Linked DNA regions of Pelodiscus sinensis. The protein of the gene in region 2 interacts with the protein of the main gene of each other region in a pairwise test. Links are inferred from orthologs where the notes say so. Each region holds a gene or a part of one and is shown on either strand. Other genes may lie near its edges.

Region 1 (7,649 bases), on a different chromosome or scaffold from region 2:
GGCATGCCTGGAGCCTCTTGGACACATTGTGCGCGGCCCGCTTGGCTGGCTCGATTCGCTGCTCAATCTAGAGAGAGGGAGAGAGACTGGGAAATGGGGGGAGGGGTTGGGGGAAAGCTTTCCATCCTCAGCCACTCCTCAGTGTACCAGGTTCTAGGGCTGCCGTGGGGTCTCTCTGCTGGGGTTTCCTAGCTGTGGAGACAGCTGCCCGTTGAGGAAAGACAGCTTCCTTTCCTCCAATGTGGAGGGCACAGTGGGACCCTCTCTGCCTATTGACACCCACCCACGTTCTTCTAGTGTCTTGTGGGGGCCTGATGAGGCATTGTCTCTCTGTCCCACCCCACTGCCAGAGAAGATGGACTGTCAGGCCTTGCCTATGTATGGGAGAGAGACATCTGCTTTAAAGCCTTAGCTAAGTGCTAGATGGCTTTTAGCTCAAGTAGTAGAGGCTCATGGCTTTTTCCCCTAAGGACCAAGGTTCAATCCCACCTGTCCATCAGCTGTACACCTACATTACAAGCACAGCCCGTTTGCATAGTGCCCCTGTTCTACCACTGCTTGATTTGCCTGTGGAGACCAGACAGAGCTACGTCAGTTTCCTTATGAGGTTATAACAGTTTTGTCTGGTCTCCACAGGCAAAACCAACCCACATTCCAGTGTGGCCAAGGCTGAGTGATACTAGGGTTCCCTAACATGGCTCAGGACATAGTACAGAGAAAGCCTCAGTGGCAGAGCTGGCATGGGAGACAAGGCCCACCAAGCATTGGGCTGCCTTGCTCAGGCTTGAGGCTTACTCTGTCTCCCCCTGATGCAATCAGGGAGGCTTGTCAGAGGTCTGGCCCCCACTGTTGCACGTAGGCATCGTTCCAGGATACAGAACAATCCAGGCTGAGGCTGCCCTGTGACTTAGGTAAACACAGAGAGAGAGAGAGAGAGTATTTCACACGCAGGCACACCAGATGTTTGCCCCACATGCAGGCACAGGCCCACACATGCCTGTGGACTGAACCCAGGCCTCACCTGCAGCAAGTCTTCAGTCAGGAGCTCAGCTGTTTCTTGGGCTCTGGGGAAAAGAGTGGGAGGGAGAGCGAGAGACTCATTACATTTGGTGGCCTCCAACCAGGCTCTTCGGGAGGGAGGGCACCAAACCCCATTGCTCTGGTTCCGGGTCATCATGTCTCGGGTTAAGAGGAGCTTGCAGGTGAGCCCATGGACAGAGGATGTGAAGCATGAAAATGGCTCCCAGCCTGCGAGCCAAGGGAGCGTGGGGCAGTAACAGCACTGGGAGACTTCATGCAGGTTCCTTCTCTGCTAAATAAGGGATCTAGGCCAAAATTTTCAGAAGCACCTAGTGATTTGGGGCACCTCACAAAAGACACTTGATTGACAGGGAATGGTGAGTTCCTGCCCTCTAATAACCAGGGCCCTTCAAGACACCTTGGGGTTGTGCACTGAAAATCACTAGGCACTTGGGCAGATCTTGGACCCTAAAATCTCCTGATCAGTGCAAAGGAGGTAGGGAGTAGAGAGGCCCTGCCACTGCCCTAGTTCTTACGGAGGTGAGGGGGAATTGAGGGAGGGGTCTGCTTTGGGGCAAGGCAAGAGGAAGGAGGAAAGAGCCAGCTGCAGAAATACCTACCACTCCCAGTGAAAGACCCACTTCCCTGGCCTCAGGCAAACAGTGAGGTGGGTTGAAGCCATTCTCAACTGCCTGACATTAAAACAACAAAATATGTGTGTGGGTTGGAGCAGAGACCGGCGAGCCCAGCCCTGCCAGGGCTCCCAAGGTTTTGCAAGGGGAACAATTAGACGAGAGAAAAACAATAAAGCAGAGGTGGCCCTGAGCTGGGGAGCGGCCGGAATGGAAATGTAGTTAGAGAGCCAGAGAGGAAAGGAGAGCAGCGCATAGGCCCAGAGCCCCCTCCTCTCTCACTAGCCTACCGCCACCCCTCACCTCCTCAGGCAGGCTTTTCTGAGACCCTGACGGACACAAGAGGAAGCTCCCCTGCCACCGTGTGTAGGATTCAGCTCCAGATGGGCCCAGGAGGGAGGGAAACCCTGGCAGGGAATGTGCCTTTAGTCTTGTTTCTCCTCCTGCATTGATCTTCCTCTCTTCCCCCAATGGGGCCGGAGGATTCCCTCTGCTGCTGACGTCCCCACTTCCCTGGCCCCAGATTGTGACTGCCCTGCTTCCCCACAGAGGGGCACAATGTGACAGGCCCTCCCTGCCTCACCTGTCCGGATTAGGGTCAACACCTGTCCTAATTGACATGGGTCTGAGTCACACCGTCGCAGCTGAGCGTCCAGGGCCAGTCAGGACAGAGGGGCCCCACTGCTCAGTCCAGCAGGACAAGTGGAGCCAGCCCCTGCTTGTTAACCTGGCTTTTTAAAGGACCAGCGGGAGTCACTACGGAGCAGCATTGCTGTGTCCCACCAACTCCCCCAGCCAAGAGGGCTAGGGGAAGTCTGAGTTAACCAAGTCCTCCTAGGGTTTAGCTAAAGCTTCCCCAAACAGGCTGCTCTCAGCTCCCCCAGCCCCTCCCATGATCACTCCACCCAGGGCCTGGGTGGTCCTCACAGCTCCTGCCCTGGCTCCTGGCAGCGCTGGGTCTCTGGCCCATGTGCCGCTGAAAGGCTGGAGGGGAGGGGTTGTGAAATGCTCTCCAGTGCAGCTTCCTGCCCTCCCGTCAGCCCCACCAGCTGGAGGATGAAAGGCTTAAGGCTGGGTCCTTACCGTCCTGTGTTGCTGGGATAGGAGAGCTGCTGCCGCATCCGATTAAACTGCCTCTTCATCATCTTGGGAGCGGAGAGGAGAGCACAGCACCGGCCACCCCCCCCACTCAGCGCCAGCCAGCTGCACTTGTCATGGGAGGAGACAGCCCGCTTCTCTCTACTTCCCTCTCTCCTCTCCCCCTCTTTCTCTTCACTCTGACTTGGCTTCGGACTCCCGCCCTTTTCTCTCCTCCCTGCCCCGCTTCCCTCACTCTTGGGTTTCCTGCCTCCCTTTTCTCCTTCTCTCACTTCTCTTTCCTTCTCCTTCTCTCCTCTGTTTCCTCTTTGGTCTGAGTCCCACCCTCACCCCCACCCCGTCATCGCCAAGCAGGTAAGAGCAGTCAGGGCTCCTGGTGCTGCTCTCTGTTCCTGTCACCACCCCGCAAGTATAAATAACTTCAGCCAAGCCTTAAAGGGGAAATATTATTACAGCAAACATGTAACAAGGCAGAACAAGCACCCGCCACAGCCTAACCAGAGCATGGGGCCCACACACTCTCCCTCTCGTTTCCCACCCGCTGTTTCCACCGGTGCCTACTCTGCCTTCCATACGCCTTGGCAGACTCATGCGGGGACCCTGCAAATCCATTCCACTAGCGAGAGGCAGAGATGGAGAAGGCAGGTGCCATGCTGGCTTCTCACAGCTCTGCCAATGCACCTCAGTCATGAGCCTCAGCCCCCCTGCTGTACCTGACCTGGAATACCCGGCCCACTCTGCCCGTGCCTTTCCTGCCTGGCTTTGGGGCAGATGAGCTGATTCACATCACCACAAAGTACAGCTCCAGTCCACTCAAACCCACTGGTGAATTTGACACAGATGCACTAACCAGGGTCTGCCCTTGTTTTTTTGACACTGAAGTGCTCATCGTAAAATGGGGAACCCCGGCCTCTGTTAGCCCCCCTGTCGCCAAGGTGCTCCCTTGTGGGAGGTTCAGACCCCCCTCGGCCTGGTGTGAAGAAAAGATTCAAACTTAGTGCTCTCACCCTACAAGGAACAGCCCAGCTCCAGAGCAAGAGGCAATACGGGGTAGTCTCAGCTCCTACTGAAGCTGTTCCACGTTGTGTAAATAATTAGCCAATGGAGCAGGGACTTGGCTTCTCCTATTGCCTAGGCATGTGCCCTAACCTCTGCACTGGAGTCAGTCACATGGTTCCCTCCACCCCCACTCAATGACTAGCCCTTGTTATTAATTGAGGCAATTCATGGCCATCCATAAGGACAATGACTACCCCTCAGCAAAACCAAGGGAGGATGACTCTCTAATCTGGTGGGTAGGATCTTCTCCCAAGCTAATGAGAGACCCACATTCAAATCTCTTCTCCACATCAGGAAGGGGAGTGGGGAGATAAACCTGGGAAGCGAGGGAGCCAGATAAATGCCCTAACTGCTAACAGTTACAAGTTTCAGCCTTTTTTTTTATAGGGAGGGCACTTTCTTCTCCTGTTCTGTGAAGCTGGCTAACAGCCTGCACCAAAACGGTTTGGGTCCAGCAGCGTGCTCTCTTCGGCCTGACTGGATTTACTTCCATTTGCTGATTTTTTTTCTGTTATTGCAATTTTCAAATTTGGTTCAAACCAAACCATCGGTTCCCCTGAAACTACCAGTAAACCAGCACACCACTTCTGCACCCGGCTCTGCTCCCGATCTGCTGCGCTTCCTGCTAGTCCAGTCCAGCCCCACACTGCGCCCACAGGCCTTTGTGCATCACCCTCCTACCCTGAACTTGCTGCTATTTCTGTGCAGCCCTTGCAGCACTGCCAACACACCTCAGTCTTGGCCAGCAACAGTCCCTTCTATTGCCGCCACAACTGCTCCCCAGTGCTGCCCATCTACCTCACTCCTCATAAGGCAGGACAGTCACTTTCTGTTTGTACAGCGCCTTGCACAACAGGGCACCAGACATGCTGGCCTCTAGGGGCTCTTACAATAATAAATGGCAGTCTCGGATGATCTCCCCCAATAGCTGTCAGTGTATCTCATCTGCAGCTCCTGCCGCTATTCCGGTCCTGCGACCCCCCATCCCAGCGCTGCACCCCAGCCATTGCAGCAAGGGGACTCCCTCCTCCCCCACAGTGCTGCGGGCTTATGCTGGGTCCCTAGGTGTTGCATGTGCACCCTGGAGAGAGGCTGTGGCAGTGGGTTCACCACCCTTGTTGCTGTAAGGTGCACTGCAGCACCTCCCACTCGCACGTCTTCTGCAAACCAATGGCATGGGAACATAGTGTCACAAATGCGCTGCTCCAAGAACAGAGGGCAGCTCAGAGCTTAGCTGTGAGATTTGCAACCCCCTTGGTGCCTTCCTCTGCAGAGCCAAGCCGCAGCCTGCAGCAGCAGTAGCAGCAGAGCTCTGGGACATGTGGCAACAGGGCCCAGGTCTTACCCTCCTGTTGATTTTACTGGCATGCTCGAAGGAGATAATCTGTTAGACCAGGATTTTCTTTCCCTTTTGTGAGATGATCCCCAACCCCCCACAGCCAGCAGCAGCCTGTCCAGAGAGTGGTGGAGGGCCAGGGAGTGCTGCAGCTAGCCTGCACAGCCAGTGCGAGAGCTCAGAAGCTGGGACAGGAAGTGGTCAGAGTGCATGTGCACGTATAAAGAAACACACTGCAGAATTGTCAAGGAGGGAGAGAGGCAGGAAAAAGTGACCCAGCTGACCATCCCCATGCATGGGCTAGGACTAAAATAAGTAGTGCTCCTGAGGCCTTATATGGTACTCCGCACCAGCGTTCCCACCAAACTTCTCCACCCACGTGCAAAATAAATGTGTGTGTGCACCAAGGCGTGTGTGAATGTGCCTCTCCCGTAGAAACAAAAAACCTAGCTGTGGGTGCTCTGTTAAGCAATGGGGCAGGATTGAATTAGGGATATGATCATGTACACATTTAACTGATGAACTTGGGCTGATCAATTAACCTTCACAGTTCTACACAAAGGCCCCCCTCCATGCTGCGGCCTTTGTATGAGAGGCAGCAACGCACGGGGGCAGGCAGGAGCTGTACATGTGGGGAGCCAGCTCCATACATGTACCAGCTCCCGTGGAGCTGCAATGCCCCCCACCCTACGCTGTTACCTCTGTATCAGAGGAAGCGGGGGAAGGAGAGCGCAGAGATCTGTTTGAGCCACCTCCCCCGCCATGAAAACATATAACCGCTCAAAATTTCAGTTACACAGTTACAAAAAAATGATGCATTTTAACATTCTTCATTGGAATCTCTCCTGAGCAGCCGCACACATGCGCAGCTTACAGGGAACACTGCTCTGCACCCAGAGATCTCCTCCCGGCATCATGCCCATTTGTCAGCTGGGAAAACCGAGGGGTGGTCACTCTGTAGCTCAGGGCAGAGCTAGGAGCACAACCCAGGGCTCAGCCTTTGCAAGCCAGTGCCCTAGATCCTGGGCCATATTTGACCCAGGGGGATTAGAACATAGGCAAAGCAGAGAGAGGCTTACAGGCAACAGTGGCCAAAGACACGGAGACCACCCCAGAGAGAGTCTCTGTGCGGTACATCATGATGGCCCTGCTCCTTTGACTTTTTATCCAGACTCCACAGGGATCAAAGGCCAAGAAGCTGCTTGCTGAGCTGCTACTTTCAGAGGCCTCCCAGGCATCCTAGGTGTAGGGGAAGTGGTTGTGTAGTCAGGAAACTCCCCAGTAGCAGTCACACCCGTCTGCTATGGGATCCACTGAGCAAGGCCTCCCCTTGGCTGGGAATGAGGCTCCAAACAATCTGTGCGTCATGCACTGCAGTAGCTGCCCAAGCTGACATTTAATGGGGGTACTGGCAGTAGACACACAGCCCTTGGGCTAGCCCCACTGAGACACAAGGCAACAGAGGTGCAAAAAGCCCACTCCCAAGTTATAGCCGTTACTGCTACTTTCCAAAACCAAGCATCTTCCCCAGCCTGCCAGGAGGCCACCGGCGCTTAACAGCAGTTACGAGACCCACTGTGGCAGCCGCTACAGAGGCTCCCACAGAAAAACCTAGGGGAAGAGGAAGTGGGGGCAGCTACTAGCAATCAGCTGAGCAACCTCGCTGCAAACAGCACTTGAGCCAGGCCCAAAATGGTTCAGTGAGGGGGCTTGAGGGTCAGGTTAACCCTGGCACAGGAGTTCCTAGCAATCCCTTCCACAGGGCCAATGTTTAGCCCCCTCATCCTCCAACATAGGGAGCAGCAGGGGCTGGCAGCCAGCTCTTCCTGTGCTCAACTCTGCACAGAAAACAGGAAGGCACGTTCCAGCCCCAAAAGGCAGCAACTGCTCTCTGTCCCACGAGCCAGGACCACGAAATCCAGGGCAGCCCAGCTAGCCGACCAGAAGATTCACTGCTCTCCTTTGCCCTGGTACTTGGCTCCCACTGGGCAGTTCAGTGAGTGAGGTCCAGGGAGGCTCCCGAGTTCCATGGCTAGGCTACCACTGAGCTAGGGTGAGTGTCAAGGGCAGGTTTGGGTCTGAACACACATTTGGCGTCGCAGAGCAAGCCCTGCCTCTCGTTACTGGGATCCATGCTGCAATGTTCTGAAACGGGCAGAGGGAACAGGGACGCTTCCAGCACACTAGCAGTGTTCTCCCCAGGCTTGGCTGCACGGAGACGCATCCTCACATTGGGGATGGAAAAGTGCCCCAGTAGGGGGCACTCGCCTCAGCTGAGAGGGAGAAGGGACACTGCGTGCAGGGGGCAGAGATTCTATGGATGACAGATGCTGGGCTTGCTGGTGACAAAAGGGGCCCTCAGCCCAAGTGTAGCTCAGGAAAACCCTGACAGACATCAGGAAAGAACACTCTTTATTTCCCATAAATACAGCAGATTTCGCGCACCGGGCGGCTTTTGAAATCCTTTTCCATGTACAGAATTTGCACCGAAAATATATACAAGT
Region 2 (7,531 bases):
CAGGAAACCCCGCCCCCCCCATCATGGTCTTGTTTGGCACCATCTCATGTTGCCCCTCTCAGGAGAGAGGCTGCGGATTCAATGGGCCTCGGGTCGGACCCCATCCCTACAGAGCCCAGCCCGGGGACTGGGCTGGGCTGTATCTTTGGAGCTAGTCCTGCTGCCGTGTCTGTTCGGGGGGGCTCTGGCAGGCCCTGGGCTGCGGCGTGATCACCTCCTTTGTTGGTTGTGCAGCTGCCTCGGCGGTTGTGTGGCAGGTTGGTTGCGTTTGACACCAGGAAGGAGCCTTCCCAGCAGGCATTTGTGTCAAAATACAACCTAGTCACCAGTTTCCTGAGCGAGGCTAGTGGCAGCCTTGTGGGAGGGCTGACAATGGCCGAGCCCCTGGGCACGGTAGGTGTGCGTGTGTGACGGCATGTTCCTAGAAGGGGCGGGGCTTGGGCGGAAGGGGCGGGGCTTGGATGGAAGGGGTGGGGTTTGGGGTAGTTGGCTCTTAGCACTACTTGGAGTGCACCTTGTTCCCCAGCCTCCTGCCAGGCCTCAGAGCTGCCCAGAGCATGCCACGTGGTGCTCTGGCGGCGATTTAAAGGGGCCAGGACTCTGGCTGCCATGGCCCCCTCATTGGTGGGGGCTGCAAAGCCTGGGGGAGGTGGGCGGGGAAGGAGGATGGACTAAGAAGAAGGGTAGCCTAGTGGGTAAGTCACTGGGGTGAGAGAGACCAGGCGTCAGTTATTGGCTCTGCTGCCTACTGCGTGACCGTGGGCAAGTCACGTCATGGCTCCATGCCTCAGTTTCCCAGCTGTAAGATAAGGGCTCTTCCTTTGGGCCCTTTTGAGCAGCTCTTTAGAGCAGGCACTTTCCCGCTAGGTGTGCTCACAGCGGGGCCTTGATCGAAGCCAGGTGCTACTGTTATGTACTACTAAGAGGTAGTCTGCCTGAGGAAATTGACCGGCTTAGCTAATCTGGATAACCGTCCCATGTGGACGCAATTCTTTCGGAAGAGCAGGAACTCAGAACATCCACAGCCAACCTCATTCTGGGGTAACTCCCCTGTGCAGCTGAGTCCTACCCAATAGCGTGTTGGCACAGGATAGTTTGGGGCAGCTCCCTTCCCGCCGGTCTGTGCTTTGGGGGACCCTGTGGCAGTCCTATGGATGGGCCTGGCACAGGGTGGCAGCAGGAGTCACTGCCCCCTCGCCAGAGCAGCCCAGCAGCCTCCTCTGCCCCACCCCGCCACCCTCCCCTCGCCCGCTGCGCTTGGCTTTTCTGAGGCAGCAGGAAGCAGAAGGCCCCAACCTCAGCGTACTTGACTCCTCGCCGCTGCTGAGAAGCGAGGCGCAGTGGGGCGGCAGGACGATGTGGTGGCAGGGTGGGGTGGAGCAGTGGGAATGCCCTAGGCTACCCCCCACCTCCCCGGACGGCCCTCCAGGTTTGTGCTGGAAGCTGGGGTCGCCCGGCAGGGTGGTGTGCCAGTCCGGAGCCAGGTCATGGCACCAACGCTCTCCCACGCTGGGCTGCAAACCCGTCCAGCCAGGCCACTTGCCAGAGGCTCGTACCAGTGCTGGGTCGCGCCCTCCCCTCCCTCCCCCTCCGGGCTAATAGCAATTTTGCTCTGGCTACGCCGGCACAGCTGGCATCAGGGCTACTCCCTGAGGTGGCCAAAGTAGGGATGTTAAATTTAAATTAATCAACTAGTCGAAGTCTATCGACTATTCGATTGGTAGATAAGAGCGCCTCTGCCTTTGAACTGTAGGAAGAGCCTCTTGCTACAGTTCGAAAGCCCCGCGCTCTCTGCCACTCCTGAGCCTTTGAAATATACATTTCAAAAGTCGAATTGCGGCAGAACCGGCACGCGGAGACTGCAAAGGGAACCATCATTGTGATTCTCCCACCTGCTTCTTTCAGGGCTGCTTTGGGCTGCCTGAGGGCCATAAGAGACCCAGTGTAAACCAGGCTCTGGCCCTGCCATGAGGCGTTTCCCCAAATGATGATGGGAGAGGAGGAAGCTGGGGTCACTTCAGGTGGCTGCAGTCTGAATGAGCAATTAGAGCAACTCCTGCAGGTCTCAGCTTCCAGGTTCCAGCCAGGCAGGATCAGGTTTCAAGCAACTTTTAGATTTTATTTTTAGTGTTGTGCGATGCTGCTTTTGCATTGGCTTCTCCAAATCTTGGTGGACCCCAGTTGTGCCTGCCTGCTCAAACGTCTCTCTGATCCCCTGGCTCTGAGTTTGTCTGCTCAGAAACGTTTGAAGTTTGACATGTCGCAATGTTTCTCTCCCCCCCCCCCCCTCCCCCTTTTGGCTTCTTGCTTTCAGTTCTTAAATCTTCTGTACACAAGATCAGTCCCGTCCTGAAGTCTGGGCTGTCTTATCTCTGGTCAGAAATCTTGAAAGTCATTTACAGGGAGTGGTAAAGGAACCTTTTTGGCTGTCTTTTAATATTAGTCAGTGGTGCTTGGATGAGGGTTCTCAAAGTGAAACGGATAACTCTGAAGGGAAGCAGAAATCAGTAGCGGTCGGAGGAGGGGAAAGACCGAGAATTGGGCCCATGGGCGAGTGTGGTTTTATTCAACGAGTCCGACTCAAGAGTTCTGTCCTCCAGCTGTGTTGTAGTCTTGCAGCATGATCTTGGGCGAGTCATTTAATCTTTCCAGCACCTGTACAACAACGTGAGCTTCGAGACGTCATAAGTGACTAAACCCGAATCTCTGACTTAAAATCCAGTTTCTTACAGCTCTGGTTTGCATTCACTCAGCCTGCAGATTGAAGCTGGGTTAGTCAATTTCACTGCTGTTACTAGTCTGTTTCACTTCCTGGTGAGCAGTGCCTGCTGGGCACTTATATGCATTGGTTGCAGACAATGCATGGAAAGAACTCTTTTCCACACACACTCACACACGGTCACAAAAGTTCCCTCTAATCTGTTCCATCCATGTGCGGATTTTTTTTCCCATTCAGGTGTGGAATAATTTTTTTCATGTGCTCTGGGGCACCATCAGTAGAAACAAAAACTTTGCTGCTGACATGCTGCTGGGCAGCCTTTGATTCTCTCCTGAGCAGTTACACAAGCTGTCAGGGAACAATGGTCACAAAACCATTTAATTTCTGCTAAATTGCCGTGAAATCTTTAAACGTAGTTAGCAATGTTGGATCTCCACAGCTTAGATGTTTCCCTTTGTAAGGGAGGTCTTGAAAGGGGTCAGATGGCAAGCCAATCATTGGAAGGGTGCCACCCCCCATTACACACAGCTGACCTGTGGAACTCCTTGCTATAAGATAATTAGCTACAACCTCAGCAGGATTTTTAAAAGGTATGGATGAAAGCATCCTGGCTTATAATAAAACAAAAAGCAACCCCCCAAAATGTAGGCAGGGCCATGAATCCTTCTGCCTTAGGATGGCTATAAACTCTTCAGAGAGCAGGGTAACGTGGAGTCTGCCTTGGGCGTCACTCCCTCTCCCCTTCTCATCCGCACACAGTCCTCTCGCCCGAGTGTGAGGGTGCTGTCACCCCAGGCTTGCTGGCTTGCCTGATGGCACCTCTTTCACTTGGGCTAGATTGCAGCAGTGCAGTGTGACACAGGCTAAAAATCACACCAGTGCTGCAGGTCTGAAGGTGCTGCCCCACAATTCCCCTCTGTGCCCTGGAGGACAGATGGATTTTCCCTTCTTTTTGCTGGGGGGGGGAAATCCTGGAGCATGCTGCAGAGACAATGGGGCGCGCCCCCAGGTGAAAGCAGTAATGGTGACTCATTGCTGTCGGGCTGTTCGCGCCTGCCCTGGCTGCTCCGCTCCTGATGCTGATCGCTCTGCATTGAAGACACCCCCTTAATCTTGGGGCCAGGCTCTTCTTGGCCAGTCGCTAGGCTCCCCATACCTGAGGGGTTTCTTGTGTCTCCCTCTAACGCATCGAGTGCTGCTGCAGAGACCGGGGTTTAGGGTTCGACCGATTGTTGCTTTTATCCAGCCTGGTGATTCCGATCTTCTTTTCCTCAAAGAGGCCATTGCAAATGTTAACCCAACCATCTCCTCGTCCAGGTGCTCGCTCGCTCCTCCCTCCTGTTTACTGTGGTTGTGCAATCAGTTGGGGGGGGCGTGTGTGTGTGTGTGTAAAGAATCTCTCTTCCCATTGCTGTGTAAGACACCTGCAGGGGAAAACTGGTGAAACTAACCAGAGTCGAGCTGAAAACAGGCCACCGGGTTTATTGCATATACCCGAGAGCCTGGTCTTTTTTTTCCTCATTGATTTGTATCATAGTAGCATTTGGAGATGAGAACCCCTAGCAGGCTTCTGCCGGCAGAGCTGTGTCCGCCCAGGCTGTGATCCGTGGCCAACAGCTAGGCTGGCAGAAGCCCCAAGTGTGGGTGCAGCTATTTTGGGAAAACTGGCACAGCTTGTTTCACGCGGGGTGGATCCAAGGCTGATATTGCTGCATCCACAGGAGCAGGGCTCTGCTTGTGAGGCGTGCCAATTTCCTAGTGTAGCTACTGCCTAAGAGAGCTCCAAACAGCTTCCATGCTAAGTCAAAAGGGAAGGGAGACTGAGGCCTGGTCAGAAGATGCCAAGGTCAGAGGCAAGCCTGGGTATTAGGAATGTAAAATCCTGGTCAATCAGTAAACCTAAGGTTTAACTGGTTCACTGACTAAGCAAGATCCGGGCAGGGGACTGCACCCAGCATGTGGGGCTCCTACCCCCAGCGCCTGTGCTGGGGCTTGCTGCCGGCTCCCGGCCCCTGTCCGCAGCAAGCTGGAGGCTGCTCCAGACCCCACTGGTTACTGGAACAGGTAAGCCTCCCCCTTTCCACATCCTTCCTGGGAATAGAACCCAGGAGTCCTGACTCTCTCATCTTATCTACCTGACCCATGTTGCCTTGGAACTAAACCTCTCTTCCCAGCTCCATCTGTCCTTCCCCAAGGGCAGACGGACCCTCTCCCCCTCCAGTCCAAGGTGCACACCCTCCAAGCGTGGGACGTTTCTCCATCCTCCCCTCCACCCTGCCATGGTGCCCCAAGGCCTGCGCTCCTTGGCCACCCGGTGCTAGGCAGAGGCAGAGGTTTGTGGCTCCATAGAGCGGTGTCAATGGCTGTAACGCAACAGCGGGAAGCGAATTGTCCCCAGCGTGAGCCGCCAAAACTCTGGCACGGCGGGGAGCTGATCTATAAGGACCCGAAGGAGCGGTGGCTTTCCAGACCTGAGCTGCCCTCCAGCCAGATGAATGGGGCGTCTTGGGGAACCCCTCAGTGGCTTCTGCTCTAATGAACCAGTCCCCTCCTTGTAAGGGCCGTTCCCACCTGGGGGAAACTTCCCCGTCTTGGAGCAGAGCCGTGGAGGCCTTGTCGGCAGTGGGGATTTGCCCCACTTCTACGGCCCTTGGTGTCCAGGCCCTCGTAAAGCTGCACCAAGCAAGGGGTTGGTATCCGGATTCTCAGTGCTTTGGGGCAGGGTCTGTCTCTCGCTGTGCCGGGCGCTGCACAGACACAATGGGGCCCTGGCCTCTGTTGTTCCTTAGACACTATTGTAAGAAATATGATGAGCCCCCCCGCCCCCAATCAAATTCAGGGTCCTTTCATATTTGATGCTGCAGAAACAGTCACCTAGGAGCTCACAATCGGACAGAGGGCAGGAGAGGAAACTGAGGCACCAAGAAGGGAAGTGAATTGGCAAGCAGCATGTCAGTAGTCGAGTTGAGAACAGAATCTGTCTCCTGACTCCTAATCCAGTGCCATAACCACTAGGCCCCACTGCTGGTAGACCACGTAAGCTGTCCTAAACTGAGCTTTGCAGCACTTCACTTCGGTCAAAAATCTGCTTTGCCTGTGTGCGCAGATGCCACGTGCATGTCGGTCTCCCTAGGCGGAAAAGGGCTTTTGGGGCGGGAACTCCTCAAAGCTTCAGCACCTGCTGCTTCCGGGGAGACAGTAAAAACGAGGCTGCCCATGTAATCGCCCGGCTTGGAGCTGCAGAAAAAATGTGGCAGCCAGGTCCCTTTAAAGAGCCCTCCTGGTGCAGTAATAGGATGTGTGTTCAGCGCCCCTAATCTCATTATTGGGCTTTAACTGTTGTTTAACCTTGGTGTGCTGATTTTTTAAGTGGCAGCCTTAAGGTGCTGCATGGCCTCCCGCCCCTGGGTAACAGCCATTAAAAGGGCTTTGGGATGGGAGGAGGAGAGATGGGGTGTCCTGTCTGAAGCAGCATTAAAAATAGCACCAGGCTTAGCAGTGCTGCATCATTCTCAAATGACGCCCCCTCCCCTCTGACACTGTTCTTGGCTGCACGGGGGAGAGAAAACGGTCATGAAAATCCCCAGCCAAAATCCCACCTCTGGATGATTTAAACCCTGACTCCTTGTTCCTTTCTCTGCAGATGAGCTGGGGGATTTCCCTGCTTGTTTTAAAATCCCCTGCAGGACGGCTTTTGGCTGCTCACCCCTGGTTAGCGCTTCCCTGGGAGACTGTGTTAGCGGGATTGGGGGAGGTAGCGGCCCCCTGACATTGACACACAGAGCCGTAGCCCCAAAATCCACTGCAGTGAGGGGTGTCAATCTGATGATGCTTTGTGTGGGGACACAAGTCATAATTCCTCTTCTTCCCCCCCCCCCCAGCAGTTGTAAAATCAACACTAAAATTAGCATCTCGCAAGCCACTTAACTTCTTTACATGATCCAGCTTGTCACAGTCAGAGGGGTGCTAACGTTTATATAGAAACCCCCCACTTTGTCTTGTCTCTTTCTCCACTCCAGAGTTCCCTAGGCTCCCAGGGTTCCAAGTGGTCCCTTATTTTCCCAGGAAAGGAACCAACTCTCTTTCCCACTCAAGTAGCCTGTGGAACTCATGGCCACAAGCTTTCACAGAAGCCAGATGCATAGGAGAGGAGAGTTTTAGAAAGCTTGTTCTGGAGATAACTGTTGGGTTTAGGTGCAAGCTTTCCATGGGGGCGAGTTGTCCCCTCGCTCAGGGGTAAGGCTGTGCTTCTGTCAGGTCTGGTTGCAGGGTGTCTAGCTGGAGCGAGTTTTAATCCAGCGGGGGTACGATGTATGGTGCAGCTGTGACTGCACGTGCTCAGCTGCTTCAGTGCAAACTTCTCAGGGAACCTCTGTATAGACCAGGGATGTAAGTGACTAGTTGGCTGTCTGATAACCTAGGCTTATTGGGTAGTCGAGTCATTACTCAACTAGTCGCTCCCCCCTTGCTGCCTCGGTATCAGAGGCAGCAAGGGGGGGAGGAGCAGGCTTAGAATGGGGGAAATGGCATGAGCCAGGCGGCTCTTACCATATTTAAAAAGCAGAGCCACAGCGAACCCCCTTATCGACTACATAAGGATATAAGAATGGCCAGACTGGGTAAAACCAAAGGTCCATCTAGCCCAATATCCTGTGTGCCAACAGTGGCCAATGCCAGGTACCCCAGAGAGGGAACACAACTGGTAATCCTCACGTGATCCCTCCCCTGTCACTCATTTCCAGAGAAACAAAGGTTAGGGACACCATCCCTACCCATCCTGGCTAATAGATGATCCATGAATCTATCTAGCTC
Region 3 (7,609 bases), on a different chromosome or scaffold from region 2:
CCCTGTCCCATTCCCCGCCCCCCAAGCCAGCCAGCCCTTGTCCTGGGCCGGGTGGGAGCCGGCACCCCCCGGAGGGGACAGGCCCCTGTCTCATTCCCCGCCCCCCAAGCCAGCCAGCCCTTGTCCTGGGCTGGGTGGGAGCTGGCACCCCCAGGAGGGGACAGGCCCCTGTCCCATTCCCCGCCCCACAAGCCAGCCAGCCCTTGTCCTGGGCCGGGCGGGAGCCGGCGCCCCCTCAGGCCAGCCCAGTGCCCCGTCCCCCTGCTCTCACTTGAAGCCGCTTGGGGCGCCGATGTCAGCCTTGGAGATCTTCTTCTTCCCTTTCTTCTTCTCGGCAGCGGGGGGCACCGGCAGCCCCCGGTACCGGGACGAGGTGATGTCCGGGTTCTGGATGTCCATGGTAATGAGGTTCAAGGAGGGGGAACTCGGCTGTTTGCTGGGACCTGTGGGAAAGAAAGGGGGGGCTGTGGGGAGCAGGGCCGGGGCTCTCCCCTGGAGGACAGGGAGCGGGCGGGGGGCTCGGGTAGCCCTTTGCAGACCCCCTCCTCCGAGCGCTTACCGTTCATGTCCCCCCCGGCAATCGGGGATCGGGGCAGCGTCGTCCTGCGCTCTGGAGGAGGCAGAAAGAGCCGTGTTAGACCTGCCAGCCCCTCCCCCACGGGAGAGCTTGGGGGGCTCAGCCCCGCCCCATTGCGCAGGGCGGCGGGATCACGGGGGACTCACCTTCAGGGACTGGAGGGGGGGGTGGGGGCAGCTGCCGCTTCTCTGAGGAAAGAGCAGAAAGCGCGTTAGGATACTGGCCCAGGGGGGCCAGGGAAGGGGCCCGGGGCCCTGCCCCTCCAGGGGGGCCAGGGAAGGGGCCCGGGGCCCTGCCCCTCCAGGGGGGCCAGCGCCTGCCCTGCCACTCACCCATCCTGTGCTGGCGCTTCTGGAGCTTCTCCTCCACCACCATGTGGAAGGCGCGAGCCTCGGCCTCGTCCGCAAAGTTCAGCCCAGCCTGGCATTCCTGGGAGCAATCGGCACCTCGCCAGTCCGGGGGGGCTCCACGCCCCTCCCAGAGCCAGGGGAGAACCCAGGCGTCTGGCTCCCGCCCCCCCTGCGCTAACCACTAGGCCCCACTCCCCTCCCAGAGCCAGGGGAGAACCCAGGCGTCCAGCCCCTTTCCCCCTGCTCTAACTGCTAGGCCCCACTTCCCTCCCAGAGCCAGGGGAGAACCCAGGCGTCTGGCTCCCGCCCCCCCCGCGCTAACCACTAGGCCCCACTTCCCTCCCAGAGCCAGGGGAGAACACTGGCATCCTGGCTTCCCTCCCCCCTGCTCTAACCCCTAGGCCCCACTCCCCCCCAGAGCCAGGAGAGGTCCCTAGCCCTACCTATTATTTGTTACCCTCAGTTTTCTCCTTTTATCCCGTCTCTGAAATTGTGTCCCGGGGGCGGGGCTCGGTTTGGAAGCCCCGCCCTCGCGCCCCGCCCTCCTGGGGCAGATACTCACGTCCCCGGGGAAGGTGTGGAAATAGGCAGACACAGCTGAATAGGCCTCCAGGCTGCTTAGCTCCTGCTCCCACGTCAGCCTGCCCTCCTGCAAGAGAAGGGAACCCTGGCACACGCCCTGGGGGTCTCGCCCCGCCTCCGGCAGGGGAGCGGGGCCAGTGCTTGGCGCAGGGAAGCCCAGACACCCGGGTTCTCTGCCCAGCTCTGGGAGGGGAACGGGGGCTAGTGGTTAGCGCAGAGGAACCAGGACTCCCGGGTTCTCAGGGCTGGGACTCACCTTGAGACTGAAGAGGCGGATGAAGTAGGAGCGCCGGGGGTTGTCTTTGACCAGGCAGAGGACCCCGCAGCCCTGCTTGCCCCAGGCCTGGCTGTTGGGGGGCAGGGCCAGGTACAGCTGGGCCACGGACGTGGCCAGGGTCTGGGCCAGAGACATCCGAGTTACAGAGAGATGGCGGCTGATGCAGCCAGCTCTGGGGTGGGGTGGCTGGGAACAGCTGCACCCTGCCTGACTACGGCTCCCCAGGCTGACAGTTCCTGTCCCCGTCTCCGGTGTTGGCCTCAGGCGTCCGGCGGGACCCCAATGGGCCTCTCACCAGCCCCACAAGCGCCATTTGCATGGCCGAAAGGGGGCCAGGAAGCAAGGCCCATCACTCCTCTGCCAGCCCAGCCCAGCCCCCCAGCCCTACCGGTGCCCCTCACTCCAGCCCCCCCAGCCCTGCCGGTGCCCCTTGCTCCCAATGAGCAGCCTCTGACAGCCCTGGGCTTCCCCTACCCAAGATCTGGGGTTCCCCTTACTCCAGACTTACACCGCCCAGCCCTGCCAGAGCCCCTCACTCCCACCCCCCAACCCCTGCCCCCCTAGCCCTGCCGGTGCCCCTCACTCCCGCCCCCTAGCCCTGCCGGTGCCCCTCACTCCCGCCCCCCAGCCCTGCCGGTGCCCCTCACTCCATGGGCCCTCACCGTGCATTTCCGGCCCAGGAGCTCAAACACCTGCTGGTTTTCATGGTCCAGGAGGAGACAGGAGGGGACGTTCTCTTGCGCTCGGGCCCCGGCCCGGGCCCCTCGGCTCATGCTGGCTCCTGGCACCCGCCCCAACAGCAGGCTCTTGGGGTCTCTCCCCTCCCCGCTCGCGACCCGGCCAACTTCCGCGTCACATCCAACAGGAAGCGCAACAGAAACCACCGGCCAGGGGAAGTTGGGCTCTGCGAACAGTCCCTGCCGGGGCTGGGGGAACAGGGTAGGGGGGTGGGAGCAAGGGGCCCCCGCCGAGCGGGGGGGAGATGGCGGGGGCCCCGCCGAGCAAGGAGCGCAGGCTCCTGGCAGACTCAGGCAGTGTTGTTTCTGCTGGGGGCAGGGTCCTCTGCAGCCGTTTTGGGGGCGGCTGGGGCGGGGGGGAATTTCTGAGCCCAACGCGTCTTGTAGGTGGCGGGGATCCCCCCAAGCCAGGCCAGGTGTGAGGAGGGGCTTGGTTCCAGGTGCCTCTCTATGGGGGGTAACGTAGTTAGGGCTTCCCCCCACCTTTGTATCTGCCCTACAATCCCCCCAATCCCTTTTCCATCTGCCCACCCTCCTCCCTCCATAACCCCCCACTTCCCCCCCACCTGCCCCCTCCCAGAATGTCTCTCCCCCCGCCCCCCACAAAACACTCAGGAAGGGGAAAGTCCGGTTGCTGTTTATTGAAACCCAGAACTACCGTACAGAAGCCACCGGCGCCCTGCGTCACGTTCACATTGCGTTTCTTTCCCCCCATCCCGCCCCCCACGGCGCTTTGTGCTGGGGGGGAGCAGGAGCAGGCTGAGTGTCCAATAGAAAGAGCTGGCCACTGCCAGGGGCTCTTTTATCACTCCCCTCCCGAAATCTGGAGCCTCTGGAATTGCGTGAACCCAGGCAGGATCGGCAGGCCAAGGTGCCGGGGAGACGGAGATTTTCGTCGGGGGAGAGATGGCCCCAGAGCGATCAGCCCAGCCGGGCACCCAGTCTAAGGAGTAGAGCCCTGCGAACCTGCCAGTAGCAGTGGCTGTGCCGGCAGAAATCCATGGCGCATGGAGGCAGACACGAATTTTGGAGCGAGCACACCGGTGGCTGTGGAGAGCCGCGGGACTTTTGCAGGTGCCAGTTTTGTACCCACACGGAGTTCTGCTAAGAAGGTTCTGAATTCACCAAGCCCAAGATACCAACTCGGGACCTTTCCACCTGCAGCCCCTCCTCCCCTGCAACATGCAATACGAGCCACAGGCAACGCCAGGCCCCCAAAAGGAAACCTGACCCTTGGGAAAGTGGCCCCAACATTTTAAAAAGGTGTTTTCAGGCCTCAGATCTGGGCAAAAATCCCGCTTTGTGAATGGGTTTTTTTGGTTGCTTTCTCGTCAGGGAACGGGCATTTTGCGGGGAGGGGCAGCAACGTCCAACAAACACAGAGCCAAGATGGGGGAGAAGGGGGTCGTATCTTTGATCAGATCGAGTCCCGGAGGAAGGACATGAGCCCCGGGGAAACTCGAAACGTCTCTCCCCCCCCGCCAATGGCGACCCCATAAAAGGTATCTTTGTCGCTCGGAGTTGGATTGTGCTGCTGAAATCTGGGGTGAGGGGGGTGTTCCCCCACCCAGCTCATAAAACATGATGGTTTTCTTCGTCTCTGGGCCAGACCTGGAATCGAAGGGCTGTAATATGTCGGGGAGGGAAGCCCCCACTTTTTCTGGAGAAATCAAAACATGGGCTGGGGATTTGTTTGAAAGGAGAATTTTCTGGTTTGAGGGGTTTGGATTTGGGGCGGGGGGAGGGATTAGGGGAAGGACAAAAAGCCGGGGAAAAGAAGCGTATTTCTTGCTCAAACGCTTCCTTCCAAAATGAAGGCCCCAAAGTCGGGCCGATGTCGCTCCTTTGGGGGAGGCCAAGCAAGATACGCCCACAGCACAAGGAGGAGGAGAATAGGGGAGCGATGGAACTTCGTCACTGGGGCTTCCTGGCTCCCAGCCCTAACCACTAGACCCCACTCCCCTCCCAGAGCCGGCGCGAGACCCCGGGGTCCTGATGCTATACAGAGCCCCTTCCTGCCAAAAGAAGTGCACCTCGTGCTGCGTGTACCCGGACGCAACCATGATCACGAAATAATAGAGTTCATGATCTTAAGGAAAGGTAGAAGGGAGACCAGCACAATTGAGGAAATGGATTTCAGGAAGGCAGATTTTGATAAGCTCAGAGAACTTGTAGGTAAGGTCCCATGGGAAGCAAGACTGAAGGGAAAAACAACTGAGGAGAGTTGGAAGTATTTCAAAGGGACGTTGTTAAGGGCCCAAAAGCAAACAATTCCGCTGTGTAGGAAAGATAGAAAATATGGCAAAAGACCAGCTTGGCTTAACAAGGAGATCTTGCACGATCTCAAAATAAAAAAGGAGTCCTAGAAAAAATGGAAACTAGGACAACTAACAAAGGATGAATATAGGAAAGCAACACGGGAATGCAGGGGCAAGATTAGAAAGGCAAAGGCACAAAATGAGATCAAACTAGCTACAGGCATAAAGGGAAACAAGAAGACCTTTTATAAATACATTAAAAGCAAGAGGAAGACCAGGGTAGGCCCACTGCTTAGTGAGGAGGGAGAAGCAGTAACAGGGAACTTGGAAATGGCGGAGATGCTCAATGACTTCTTTGTTTCGGTCTTCACCGAGAAGTCTGGAGGTGTGCCTAACGTAGTGAATACAAGCAGAGAGAGGGTAAGTTTAGAAGATAGGATACACAAAGAACAAGTTAAAAATCACTTAGGAAAGTTAGATGTCAGCAAGTCACCAGGTCCTGATGAAATGCATCCCAGGATACTCAAGGAGCTGATAGAGGAGGTATCTGAGCCTTTAGCTATGATCTTTGAAAAATCATGGCAGACAGGGGAGATTCCAGAAGACTGGAAAAGGGCAAATATTGTACCCATCTATAAAAAGAGGAATAAGAACAACCCAGGAAACTACAGACCGGTCAGTTTAACGTCTGTCCCAGGGAAGATAATGGAGCAGGTAATTAAGGAAATCATATGCAAACACTTGGAAGGTAATAAAGTGATAGGGAATAGCCAGCATGGGTTTGTGAAGAACAAGTCATGCCAAACTAATCTGATAGCTTTCTTTGATAAGATAACGAGCCTTGTGGATAAGGGAGAAGCGGTGGATGTCATATACCTAGACTTTAGTAAGGCATTTGATACGGTCTCGCATGATATTCTTATTGATAAACTAGGCAAATATAACTTAGATAGGGCCACGATAAGGTGGGTGCATAATTGGCTGGATAACCGTAGTCAGAGAGTTGTTGTTAACGGTTCTAAATCCTGCTGGAAAGGGATAACAAGTGGAGTTCCTCAAGGGTCTGTTTTGGGACCCGTACTGTTCAATATCTTCATCAATGATGTAGATATTGGGATAGAGAGTACGCTTATTAAGTTTGCAGATGATACCAAACTGGGTGGGGTTGCGACTTCTTTGGAGGATAGGGACATAATTCAAAATGACCTTAGCAAGTTAGAGAAATGGTCAGAGGTAAACAGAATGAGGTTTAATAAAGAGAAATGCAAAGTGCTCCACTTAGGAAGGAACAATCAGTTCCATACATACAAGATGGGAAGCGACTGTCTAGGAAGGAGCATGGCGGAAAGGGATCTAGGGGTCATAGTGGACCACAAGTTGAATATGAGTCAACAGTGTGATGCTGTTGCAAAAAAAGCAAATATGATTCTAGGTTGTATCAACAGGTGTGTTGTAAGCAAAACTCGTGAAGTCATTCTGCCGCTCTACTCTGCACTAGTTAGGCCTCAGCTGGAGTACTGTGTCCAGTTCTGGGCGCCACATTTCAAGAAAGATGTGGAGAAATTGGAAAGGGTACAGAGAAGAGCAACAAGAATGATTAAAGGCCTAGAGAACATGACCTATGAAGCCAGGCTTCATGAACTGGGCTTGTTTAGTTTGGAAAAAAGAAGATTAAGGGGGGACATGAGAGCGGTTTTCAAATATCTAAAAGGGTGTCACAAGGAGGAAGGAGAAAATTTGTTCCTCTTGGTTTCTGAGGACAGGACAAGGAGTAATGGGCTTAAAGTGCAGCAGGGGAGGTTTAGATTGGACATTAGGAAAAAATTCCTAACTGTCAGGGTGGTCAAATATTGGAATAAATTGCCAAGGGAGGTGGTGGAATCTCCCTCTCTGGAGATATTTAAGAACAGGTTAGATAGACATCTGTCAGGGATGGTGTAGACGGAGCTTGGTCCTGCCTTGAGGGCGGGGGGCTGGACTCGATGACCTCTCGAGGTCCCTTCCAGTCCTATTATTCTATGATTCTATGATCCCAGGGCAAGAGGGGTGCTGTTTCTTTGGGGGTCCCCCCGGCCACCCCATAAAGCGGCTGTGTCCCAGCCTGGATGGGATGCGGCTCCCAGCTCCGTGGGCCGCAACCAGAGAAGGACCCTGGTCCAGTTGGGAGGGGGAGCAAATCCACCATGGCCCGGACACAGACACTGGGGTTGGGGTTAAATTCGGGGTGGGGACAGGAGAGGGGTGTCGTGTAGCCAGGAGGCTCTGAGGGGCTGCCCCCCCCGGGGGGGGATTTAAGGCACTGGCTGGAGAGGCACTGAGGACTAAGGCCACTGTGGTAGGGGAACAGTGGCGATGCCTGTGGGGGTGCTGGGATTTTTCTAGAGGGGAGACAGACGCATCAGGAAAGATCTAGAGATCTTTGGAGGTGGGTATCGGCATATTTCTAGAGGGGAGAGGTGGGATCTAGAGGGTTCTGGAGGAAAACAGACACAAGGATTTTTCTAGAGGGGAGCGGAGCCATGAGGGTGAGATCTAGACACTTTTTGGAGAGGAAGCAGAGAGCCCGGGATTTCTCTAACAGGGAGCCCCATGTTCCCTCTAATCGCTTCCATCCATGTGCGGAATTATTTTGTTATGTGCACCGAGGCGCGTGTGAACGTGCACCACTAAGACACAAGAAATCAATGTGGGTGCTCGCACAAGCGCCCAGCTCACAGGGAACACTGGGGGAGACGTAGCTTCCGCCAGCTCTGGGGGGTGTCTGTACCCCGCTTCCCTCCTGCCCACCCATAACCCTCGCTCTCCAGCAGGGCTGGACCTGTCGCTGG

What was found.
Region 1: the proteins of TRIP10 (region 2) and SH3BP1 interact in binary tests that used the Homo sapiens proteins (3 or more experiments, as listed by UniProt). The two-hybrid records come from large-scale screens. The link is inferred for Pelodiscus sinensis from reciprocal best matches to the Homo sapiens genes TRIP10 and SH3BP1.
Region 3: the proteins of TRIP10 (region 2) and WAS interact in a two-hybrid assay, tested with the Homo sapiens proteins (2 studies listed by BioGRID). The link is inferred for Pelodiscus sinensis from reciprocal best matches to the Homo sapiens genes TRIP10 and WAS.

What each region holds. Positions count from the first base shown.
Region 1 is NC_134711.1:92,440,756-92,448,404, forward strand, and holds the start of SH3BP1 (SH3 domain-binding protein 1), read right to left. Parts: upstream 3,075-7,649; 5' UTR 2,798-3,074; coding exon 2,736-2,797; intron 2,688-2,735; exon of another isoform or gene 1,641-2,687; intron 1,065-1,640; coding exon 1,022-1,064; intron 68-1,021; coding exon 1-67. UniProt on the Homo sapiens protein: GTPase activating protein (GAP) which specifically converts GTP-bound Rho-type GTPases including RAC1 and CDC42 in their inactive GDP-bound form.
Region 2 is NC_134729.1:11,915,753-11,923,283, reverse strand, and holds the start of TRIP10 (cdc42-interacting protein 4), read left to right. Parts: upstream 1-4,515; 5' UTR 4,516-4,675; coding exon 4,676-4,783; intron 4,784-7,531. UniProt on the Homo sapiens protein: Required for translocation of GLUT4 to the plasma membrane in response to insulin signaling. Required to coordinate membrane tubulation with reorganization of the actin cytoskeleton during endocytosis.
Region 3 is NW_027466045.1:200,684-208,292, reverse strand, and holds the start of WAS (actin nucleation-promoting factor WAS), read right to left. Parts: upstream 3,032-7,609; 5' UTR 2,560-3,031; coding exon 2,449-2,559; intron 1,907-2,448; coding exon 1,766-1,906; intron 1,577-1,765; coding exon 1,490-1,576; intron 1,007-1,489; coding exon 910-1,006; intron 766-909; coding exon 724-765; intron 611-723; coding exon 560-610; intron 444-559; coding exon 272-443; intron 1-271. UniProt on the Homo sapiens protein: Effector protein for Rho-type GTPases that regulates actin filament reorganization via its interaction with the Arp2/3 complex. Important for efficient actin polymerization. Possible regulator of lymphocyte and platelet function.